Macaca mulatta: one gene and its partner. The protein of the gene in region 1 interacts with the protein of each later gene in a biochemical or structural test. Links are inferred from orthologs where the notes say so. Each region holds a gene or a part of one and is shown on either strand. Other genes may lie near its edges.

The links.
Region 2: the proteins of CTSB (region 1) and CSTB form a complex in vitro, tested with the Homo sapiens proteins (2 studies listed by BioGRID). The link is inferred for Macaca mulatta from reciprocal best matches to the Homo sapiens genes CTSB and CSTB.

Annotation. Positions count from the first base shown.
Region 1 is NC_133413.1:9,424,541-9,429,029, reverse strand, and holds the start of CTSB (cathepsin B), read right to left. Parts: upstream 2,822-4,489; 5' UTR 2,744-2,821; exon of another isoform or gene 1,615-2,743; intron 1-1,614. UniProt on the Homo sapiens protein: Thiol protease which is believed to participate in intracellular degradation and turnover of proteins. Cleaves matrix extracellular phosphoglycoprotein MEPE. Involved in the solubilization of cross-linked TG/thyroglobulin in the thyroid follicle lumen.
Region 2 is NC_133408.1:3,750,133-3,754,361, reverse strand, and holds the start of CSTB (cystatin-B), read right to left. Parts: upstream 2,896-4,229; 5' UTR 2,802-2,895; coding exon 2,736-2,801; intron 1-2,735. UniProt on the Homo sapiens protein: This is an intracellular thiol proteinase inhibitor. Tightly binding reversible inhibitor of cathepsins L, H and B.

The DNA of each region.
Region 1 (4,489 bases):
AGTTAAAAGTCTAAACACAGGGCTGGGCACAGTGGCTCACGCCTGTAATCCCAACACTTTGGGAGGCCAAGGCAGGGATCACTTGAGGTCAGGAGTTCAAGACCAGCCTGGCCAACATGGTGAAACCCTGTCTCTACTACAAATACAAAAATTAGCCAGGCATGGTGGTGCATGCCTGTAATCCCAGCTACTCGGGAGGCTGAGGCAGGAGCACTGCTTGAACCTGGGAGATTGTGCCACAGCACTCCAGCCTGGGTGACAGAGCGAGACTCTGTCTCAAAAAAAAAAAAAAAGAGAAAAGGATAAGAAGTGGCATACCTGTAACTCCTCCCTCTCAATGTTTCAGTCCATATCTCGAAAGGAAGGTATATTATTCTACACAACCATAACTCATTAACAGATTTAAGAAAATCACCCCCACCCCGGCGTGGTGGCTCACACCTGTAATCCTACCACTTTGGGAGGCTGAGGCGGATCACCTGAGGTGGGAGTTCGAAAACCAGCCTGGCTAACATGGTGAAACCCCGTCTCTACTAAAAATAATTTTTTAAAATGCCAGGTGTGGTGATGGGCACCGGCAATCCCAGCTACTTGGGAGGCTGAGACAGGAGAACTGCTTGAACCTGGGAGGTGGAGGGTGCACCACTGCACTCCAGCCTGGGCGACAGAGGGAAAGTCTGTCTTAAAAAAAAAAAAAAAAAGAAAGAGAACATCACCGACAGACATCCCAAGGCCCCCCTGAAACGTGATCTCCCTTCATTTCCCAATCCAACCAAGAGCAACAGAAAATATCTGTTACCCCTAAAATGGGTGCAACTTATCTTCCAACTCCCAGGTCCAGCAGCTAGGGAAAGAAAAGAAGCTGCCCAGGAGAAGAGCCTCACCAAACTGCTAAATCAGCACCACATGGGCCGCTTCAACCTGGAGCCAAAGGGCTGCCACCCCTCGCCGCCTGACCAGTTGACAACAGGGCTGTCCTGAGCCAACATCCAGGAGAGCTGTTGGGGCGAGAGCTGTGCCAGGGCCGTGTCTGGTCTGCGTTGCCACCTGGGCCAAGAGACCTGTGCCTTTCCACCAGGGGATACCCCAGCTCCGGGACAAATGACCAAAAAGGAGGAGAAGCCTCTGCTCTCCAGGAGACGTCTGACTCTGTCTTTGGGAAGGCCACACAGGGTGGGCAGCCCAGCCCCTTTCTCCAGGAGCTGGCGGGTTCTAAGTCACCATCACCAAGAAGAAACAGTTCTCCGCCAGGCCAGGCATGGTGACTCATGGGGAGGCCGCGGCAGGCAGGTCACCTGAGGTCAGGAGTTCGAGATCTGCCTGGTCAACATGGTTAAAACTCATCTCTACTAAAAATGCAAAAATTAGCTGGGTGTGGTGGCAGGCACCTGTAATCCCAGCTACTCGGGAGGCTGAGGCAGGAGAATAGCTTGAATCTGGGAGGCGGAAGTTACAGTGAGCCGAGATTGCGGCAGTGCACTCCAGCCTGGGAGACCGAGCGAGACTCCATCTCAAAAAAAAAAAAAAAAAAAAAAAAAAAAAAGAACCGATGTTATGGAAGAGAAAGAGCAGCCCTTAACCAAGCCAACGCCCTCTTAGGCCTCTTCGCCTTACCTTCCTGAACGTTTGGACTGAAAGAGGGTGCATCTCAGCTATCCTCTCCTCCGGCGGGAGGCAGTGGGGATCAGTTTTTCTAGGCTACAAAAACGTGCCAGGTCTGCCTTTGAGCCCCACAGCATCGCTTCTCCAGTGGGTTTGGGGGTCTCTCCTCCGTTAGGAGGAGGGGTGTAGGGCCTGCGCTAGGATCCTTTTCCTTGCCAGCCTGCTGGCTTCCTCGATGCCTGGGGAAGGGGGTGACAGAGGCCCACCAAGAAGCCAAGTGCAATTCACTTCCAGCTGGGTCACCCACCCCAGCCTGCCTGCAGCGCCCCACACCCAGGCACCTACTGCTCCCCAGAGGCCAACTCCCCCCGGCCTCCAGGGCTACTAACCGAGGGGGAGGTAGGGCCCCAGGAACTCTGCCCGGCTTCCCTTTACTGGAGTCCAGGGGCAGGGAGCGTCCCTGGCCTTCTCCCCACCCGGCATCCAATCGCCCATTCGCCTCTTGGTTTCGCAGCTTGGTTTCTCTTCCTGTTTATGGATTTAACTCCGTGCGGGTTCCTCCCCAGCCCACCCAGTGCCAGATCCCTGTTCAACAGGACCTGTCTTCTGGGGTCCCAGGAATTGTGTGGGATCTTGCGCAGAAAGTTGGCCAGGCAAATCCTTTGGAACGAGGGGGAAATAAACCGAAAATAGATGCCGGCAGATGCGATAATCTCGGCAGTTTGTCCCGGGGACACCGAGGCCCAGGCGCTGGGAGCGCGACCCCAGGCAGCAGCCTCCGGACCTAGCCGAGCTCTTCCTCGCAGGCGCCTCCCTCGGGGCTCCTGGCCGCGTCCCCGCTCCGGGGGCCGGGGTCCCGCGCACAGGCCGGGGAGGGGAGCAGAGGGGAGGGGGCTGGCGGGCGGGCCGGCGGGGCTGTTTTCTGCTTTTCTTGTCGACGCTTCGGAGTGCGCGGGCTCCCACCCCAGCCCGCCCGTCAGGGTCAGTCCCGAGGGTCCTGGCTCCCCACCTGCCCCCAGGAACGCCGCGGGGCCGCGCCTAGGCCCGACCGGGGACGCAGAAGAACCCGTCTCGGCGGCCGGTGGCACCGTCCCCGCCAAGGTCACTTCCGCCGCGGTGACCCCGCGCCCCCGGCACTCACCGAACGCTGCCGCCGAGAGTCTGCAGCCCAGCCTGCGCGCCGCGGAGCCGGTGCCGTTGCCGGAGCCCTGCAGCCGCCGTAGCCTGGGCCAGCCCCGGCCCTAAGTACCCTCCCGGTCCTGCGCCACGTGACTACCGCGCAGCCCCGCCCGTGCCCTCCCGCTGCCCGCGCACCCCGCTTCCCAGCCCCCACCTCCTCCCGCCACCTTCCGCCGCCCGCGCTCCCCTCTTCCCGGCCCCGCACCCCCCCACCCCTTCCGCCGGGGGTCCGGGGACACCGCCGGGGAGGGCGGGGGCCTGAGCGCCCGGGTTGGGGAAGAGGGGCTTGGAGCCCTGCGGGCCCTGGGTGGCGAAACGCTGCGAATTGGGGCCAGGGGATGGGGAAAAAGCCCCGAAAGGTGGTCCCAGAGCCCCCACCCCACCTAGAAAAGTCCCCCCGCCTCGCGGGACCGCTTCCGCCAGAACCGGCGCCGGGGATCCCTGCCTGCCGGGTTGGCGGGGGCGGGGTGGGGGAGAGGGCGCCGTCGCTTATTTCATTCATCAGAAGCCGCTGCAGGGGCTGGGGGTGGCGAGGCTGTGGACCCTACAGAACAGTCTTTAAACGCTCCACTTTGTTGTTCTGAGAACGTACCCACAAAACACTCCAGCTACGTACAAATAGAAAAGGGTGGCTGTCACCGCGAAGGAACCTAGGAGCTGCGTCAGGATTTCTACAGAGGAGGAGAAGGACCTTGGGGGGCGGAAATCGGCTTGGCACAGGAGTCCCGGGAGACCTGCTCCGAGAGGACTGACAAAGTGAACATTTACTTGGGGTTTATTAGCGGGAGGGCCTGGAGGGGAGATGCTGGGGTTGGCTCAAGACACCCTCCTCCAGACCCTCCCCAAACAGCTCTAATCCTAAAGACAAACCTGCAAGGCAGGCATGACCCCTGTATTCAAGAGGCTCAAAGAGGCTGGGCGCGGTGGCTCACGCCTGTAATCCCAGCACTTTGGGAGGCCGAGGCGGGCGGATCACCTGAGGTTGGGAGTTCAAGACCAGCCTGACCAACATGGAGAAACTCCGGCTCTACTAAAAATACAAAATTAGCCGGGCGTGGTGGCGCGGAAGGCTGAGGCAGGAGAATCACTTGAACCCGGGAGGCGGAGGTTGTGGTGACCCGAGATCTTGCCATTGCACTCCAGCCTGGGCAACAAGAGTGAAACCCTGCCTTAAAAAAAAAAAAAAAAAAAAAAGAAGTTCAGAAGAATCATCGTATTTTATCCAGGCTGTGGCGACAGTAAAAAGGCAGTAGGACTCCAAGGGACGTGGCTCCCTGCAGCCCGGTCGTCAGCTGTCACACAGCCCTGAGCCTGCCAGGGTCTTCAGAGTCATACCTGTATTCCCGCCTGGTTAGTACCAAACTAAGGATAGGAGTGGAAGGAAAAAATAATCTCTGGAGCCCAAACATGGTCACTAAGCCCCCAGCGGAGTGGGATACCCAAGGAACTGAGGACCAGAAGGCTGGAGGTCAAGGTGGTCCCAACTGCCTGCTCACCCTAGCCCTATCCTGAGGGCCATGGACTCCAGACTCCAAATCAGTGCTGGGGCATGCTGTCTTCCATATGGAAGTCAAATCATTTCAGACCTCTATAAAGAGCTCATAAGATAGCCAAAATGGGGCGGACACAGCCAGAACCAGCATAACTCTCCCCTCTCGCATCCTTAGAGTGTGACAGGAGGTATGCAGAGCAGAGTGCTTGATATGCA
Region 2 (4,229 bases), on another chromosome or scaffold:
ACCGTGGAGGTGCTGGTTCCAGGCCAGGCCGCCTGTGCAGCGTGGGCACTGACGCCGCTGACAGGGAGCAGCAGGGGCCGGCCTCTCACCGGGGGAGCCCTGAAAGGCAGGATGAGTTAGAAAGCCGCAAGTGACCGACCAGTCACCTGTGTCGGGGGTGTCGACAGTGGGGCAGACGGGATGCGAGGGCGCAGGGGTGGCTCTGGGGGAGGGTCCCCCATGCAGTGGCACAGAATGAGGAACTCTGCTGGCCTTAGGGCTCAAGTCAGGCTCTGGTCTCCACCTTCCTTGTCTGCAAAGTATGACAGGAACACTCAGCCCGAGCGCTCCCATAAGGAGTCGGTAAGACAGGGCCCGACTAGGGGGTGTCCAGGAAGCGCCCCTGCCCCTCCCTCCCGCCCTTCCTTAGAGACCACCCGGCAAATGGGCTGCCTGGTTCATACGCCTGCCTTAACGCCCCTCCCAGTAGCCATGGCTGGGCCCACTCAGGTCACTTTTGAGACAGGGACTCTTTTCTCCTGGCTGCAACAAGAACTCATTCGAAGTTCAGAGTGGGTGACAATGCGGGATGTCTTAGGCCTGGAAAGCCAGGAAACGGGTAAGGAAGAGCTGGGTAGGCTTCTATGAGTGGCTGTCGGGGAGAGGAACCACTTTTCCAGGTGCGGCTCCCACAAGCAGCCTGGGCAGGCACCGGCCGGACAAAAATGCCTCATTTCCAAAGGTGTCATGAGACTGACTCATTCTGCCCTTCTTCCCGCAGTCAGATGGTCAAAAACCCTTGAGTGATGAGGCTGTGGGCTGATCACATTCAGGAAGCAGCAGAGGGGAGGAAAGATAAAAGGAGAAAGAAGGCTGGGCAGGGCTCACGCCTGCAGTCCCAGTGAGAAAGAAGGCTGGGCGGGGCTCACCCCCGCAATCCCAGCACTGTGGAAGGGTGAAGCTGGAGGGCCGCTTGAGCCCAGGAATTTGAGACTAGCCTGGCAACATGGTGAAACCCCGTCTCTACTAAAAATACAAAAATTAGCCAGGCGTGGTGGCGTGCACCTGTAGTCCCAGCTACTCAGGAGGCTGAGGCAGGAGAATCGCTTGAACCCGGGAGGTCAAGGCTGTGCCACTGCATTCCAGCCTGGGTGACAGAACAAGACCCTGTGTCAATAAATAAATAAATAAAAATAAAGGAAAAGAAATTTGTTTCCTTTTTCCTCTCCTTACTCAAAACACAGGCCAGACCAGCCTGGCCAACATGGCGAAACCCCGTCTCTACTAAAAATACAAAAAACTAGCCAGGTGAGGTGGCGGGCGCCTGTAATCCCAGCTACTTGGGAGGCTGAGGCAAGAGAATAGCTTGAACCCAGGAGGCAGAGGTTGCAGTGAGCTGAGATCATGCCACTGCACTCCAGCCTAGGTAACAGACCGAGACTCTGTCTCAAAGAAAACAAAAACAAAACAAAAACAGGCCTCGGCTGGGCATGGTGGCTCACACCTGTAATCCCAGCACTTTGGGAGGCTGAGGTGGGCAGATTACTTGAGGTCAGGAGTTCAAGACTAGCCTGGCCAATCTGGTGAAACCCCGTTTCTACTAACAATACAAAAAGTAGCCGGGCATGATGGTGCATGCCTGTAATCCCAGCTACTCAGGAGGCTAAGGCAGGAGAATCTCTTGAACCTGGGAAGTGGAGGTTGCAGGGAGCCCAGATTGCGCCACTGCACTCCAGTCTGGGCAACAGGGTGAGACTCCGTCTCAAAAACAAAAAACAAAAAACCCAGGCCTCAGCATCGCCTGGACCTGTTCCTGCTTGGGGCATCCACTTGGTCACCAACTATGACAGGGAGGCGGGCCCGGCCTGTGCTCCACCGGAGGGGCTTCCTGCAGAGGACCTGCTCACTGAAGCCCCTCTAGAATCCTCTGGAAGGTGCAAAGCAACAGGACGTCCATTTTACAGACGAGGAAACCGAGGCACAGGGAAGGTTGCCCTCTGCAACCCAGCCCGGTTTTTATCTTGTTTTTTTGTGTGTTTTAGCTTTTTATTTAGACTTACAGTTTGAAACAGTGTTAGAATCAGAAGCGTGTAAAGAAACCTGTAGACCCTTTGTGCAGATACGCTTAAGTTTTTAACCCATGTGCCTTACCGCTGGGGACCTCTTGCACTCTCTCATGATATTTGCCTGAACTAGTTGAAGATATTGACAAAGATTCTTGCTTGGCCAAACTGTAGTCGGGCTCCTGAAGCGCCTAGGCCACCTGCGCACTTCCTTGTAAAATCCAATTTTAGCAAGAAGCCTGGCTAAGTCCGTTTGGCCAGACCCTCCCCACCCGCTTGCTATCGGGTCACCGTGAAGTTTGGAGCCGGCTGCTCACCTGCGCCATCGCCGGCGACGCCCGATCACCTGAAGCGCCTCATGCCTGGGGTTTCCCCTCAGGGATTGTCCATCCAGGGACCGCACCCTGCTCCGGGGCTATCAGTTGCCACTCGCGCTTGCTGTATTCAGCGGAGCCCAGTGTCTCCCCAGCGCCGACCCAGGCGCGGCCCCCTCCCCTGCACACTCGCACGCAGCGCCCGAGCGGAGGGAGGCCTCTCACGGCCACAGCCCGGCCAGCCCGGGGGTCCAGGACCGAACCCGCCCGCCCAGGTGCGCAGCGGGGCCGAAGTGGCTTCTCCCGCTCCAGGAGCCGCGGCCTTGCCCTGAGGCTCAGGCGGGACCCCGGGCCGGCCCCGTCCCCGGGGCCCACCCACCTGGTCGGCGATGTCCTGGGTCTCGGCGGTGGCCGGCTGCACGGCGGAGGGCGCCCCGCACATCATCTTGGCGGCGTCGGAGGGAACCTGGCGAGGGGACTCGGCGACGGGACGCGGCGGCTCCTCTGCTCAAGTAGGCGCTGCGGTCACGTGACACGCGGGCGGCACCAAGGCGCGGGGAGGGGGGACCTTGGCTTGGGCGTCCCCTGCGGGGTCGCGGTGGCCCCGCAATAAGGGGCGCGCGGGGCGGGGCGCAGGGAAGGCGCGGGGCTGGGAGCCTGGCTACCACGCTCCGCGGGCTCCGTCTCCGCGCCCAGGGCCGGTGTCGGGAAGCAGCGCCCCCCTCCCGGGGTTGGTGTGGTCTTTCCAGGCGCCGAGTCACAAGGACTGGGCGGGGGCGCGGCCGGGTGTCGCCGGTGGGTTGGGCGCGCAGGGTGGGACCATAGGGAGGGGCAGTCGGAGGGGGAGCCGTCCTGCAGTGTGGCGGGGTCCGGGCCGCGCACGAGGGAGGGCACGGGTGGGGTGGGCGCAGCGCTACAGGGGTCAGGGGTTCCGGCCCTGCGGGAGCAGGTGTGCTGGCTGCTGTGGACATCACCGCTTGTGACCCAGGACACTGAAGGCTGAAGCGGGTGGACAGAGGGGCCCAGGGAGGAGGAGACGCGCCCATGCGCCCCAGGCTGGGTGGGGGCAGGGGGTAGATCAGAGGGATGAGAAGAAGGCAGGGTTCTCTGGTGGAACTGGAATTTGAGTTTTAGGATTTCTTTTCTTTTTTCTTTTCCTTTTCTTTTTTTTTTTTTTCTTTTTTCTTTTTTTTTTCTTTTTGAGACAGAGTCTCGCTCCGTCGCCCAGGCTGGAGTGCAGTGGCTCAATCTCGGCTCACTCTAATCTCCACCTCCCGGGTTCAAGCGTTCCTCCTGCCTCAGCCTCCCTAGTAGCTGCGATTTCAGGAGCGCGCCACCACGCCCGGCTAATGTTTGTGTTTTTTGTAGAGACGGGGTTTCCCCATATTGGCCAGGATGGTCTCGAACCCTGACCTCATGATCCACCCGCCTTGGGCTCCCAAAGTACTGGGATTACAAGCATGAGTCACCGAGCCTGACCTCTTTTTTTTCTTTCTTTCTTTCGTTCTTTTTTTTTTTTTTTTAATTTAGGCAGGGTCTTGCTCTGTTGGACAGGCTGGGATACAGTGGCCTGATCACAACTCACTGCAGCCTGGACCTCCTGGGCTCAATCGATCTTCCCACCTCAGCTGCTATAGTAACAGGCTCATCCTACCACACGCATATACAGAGAGTTTCACCATGTTTCCCAGACTGGTCTGGAACTTCCGAGGGATCTGTCCACCTCGGCCTCTCAAAGTGCTGGGATTAGTGGCATGAGCCACTACACCCCTAATTTTTTTTTTTTTTGAGACGGAGTCTTGCTCTGTCGCCGAGGCTGGAGTGCAGTGGCACGGTCTCGGCTCACTGAAAGCTCTGCCTCCTGGGTTCACGC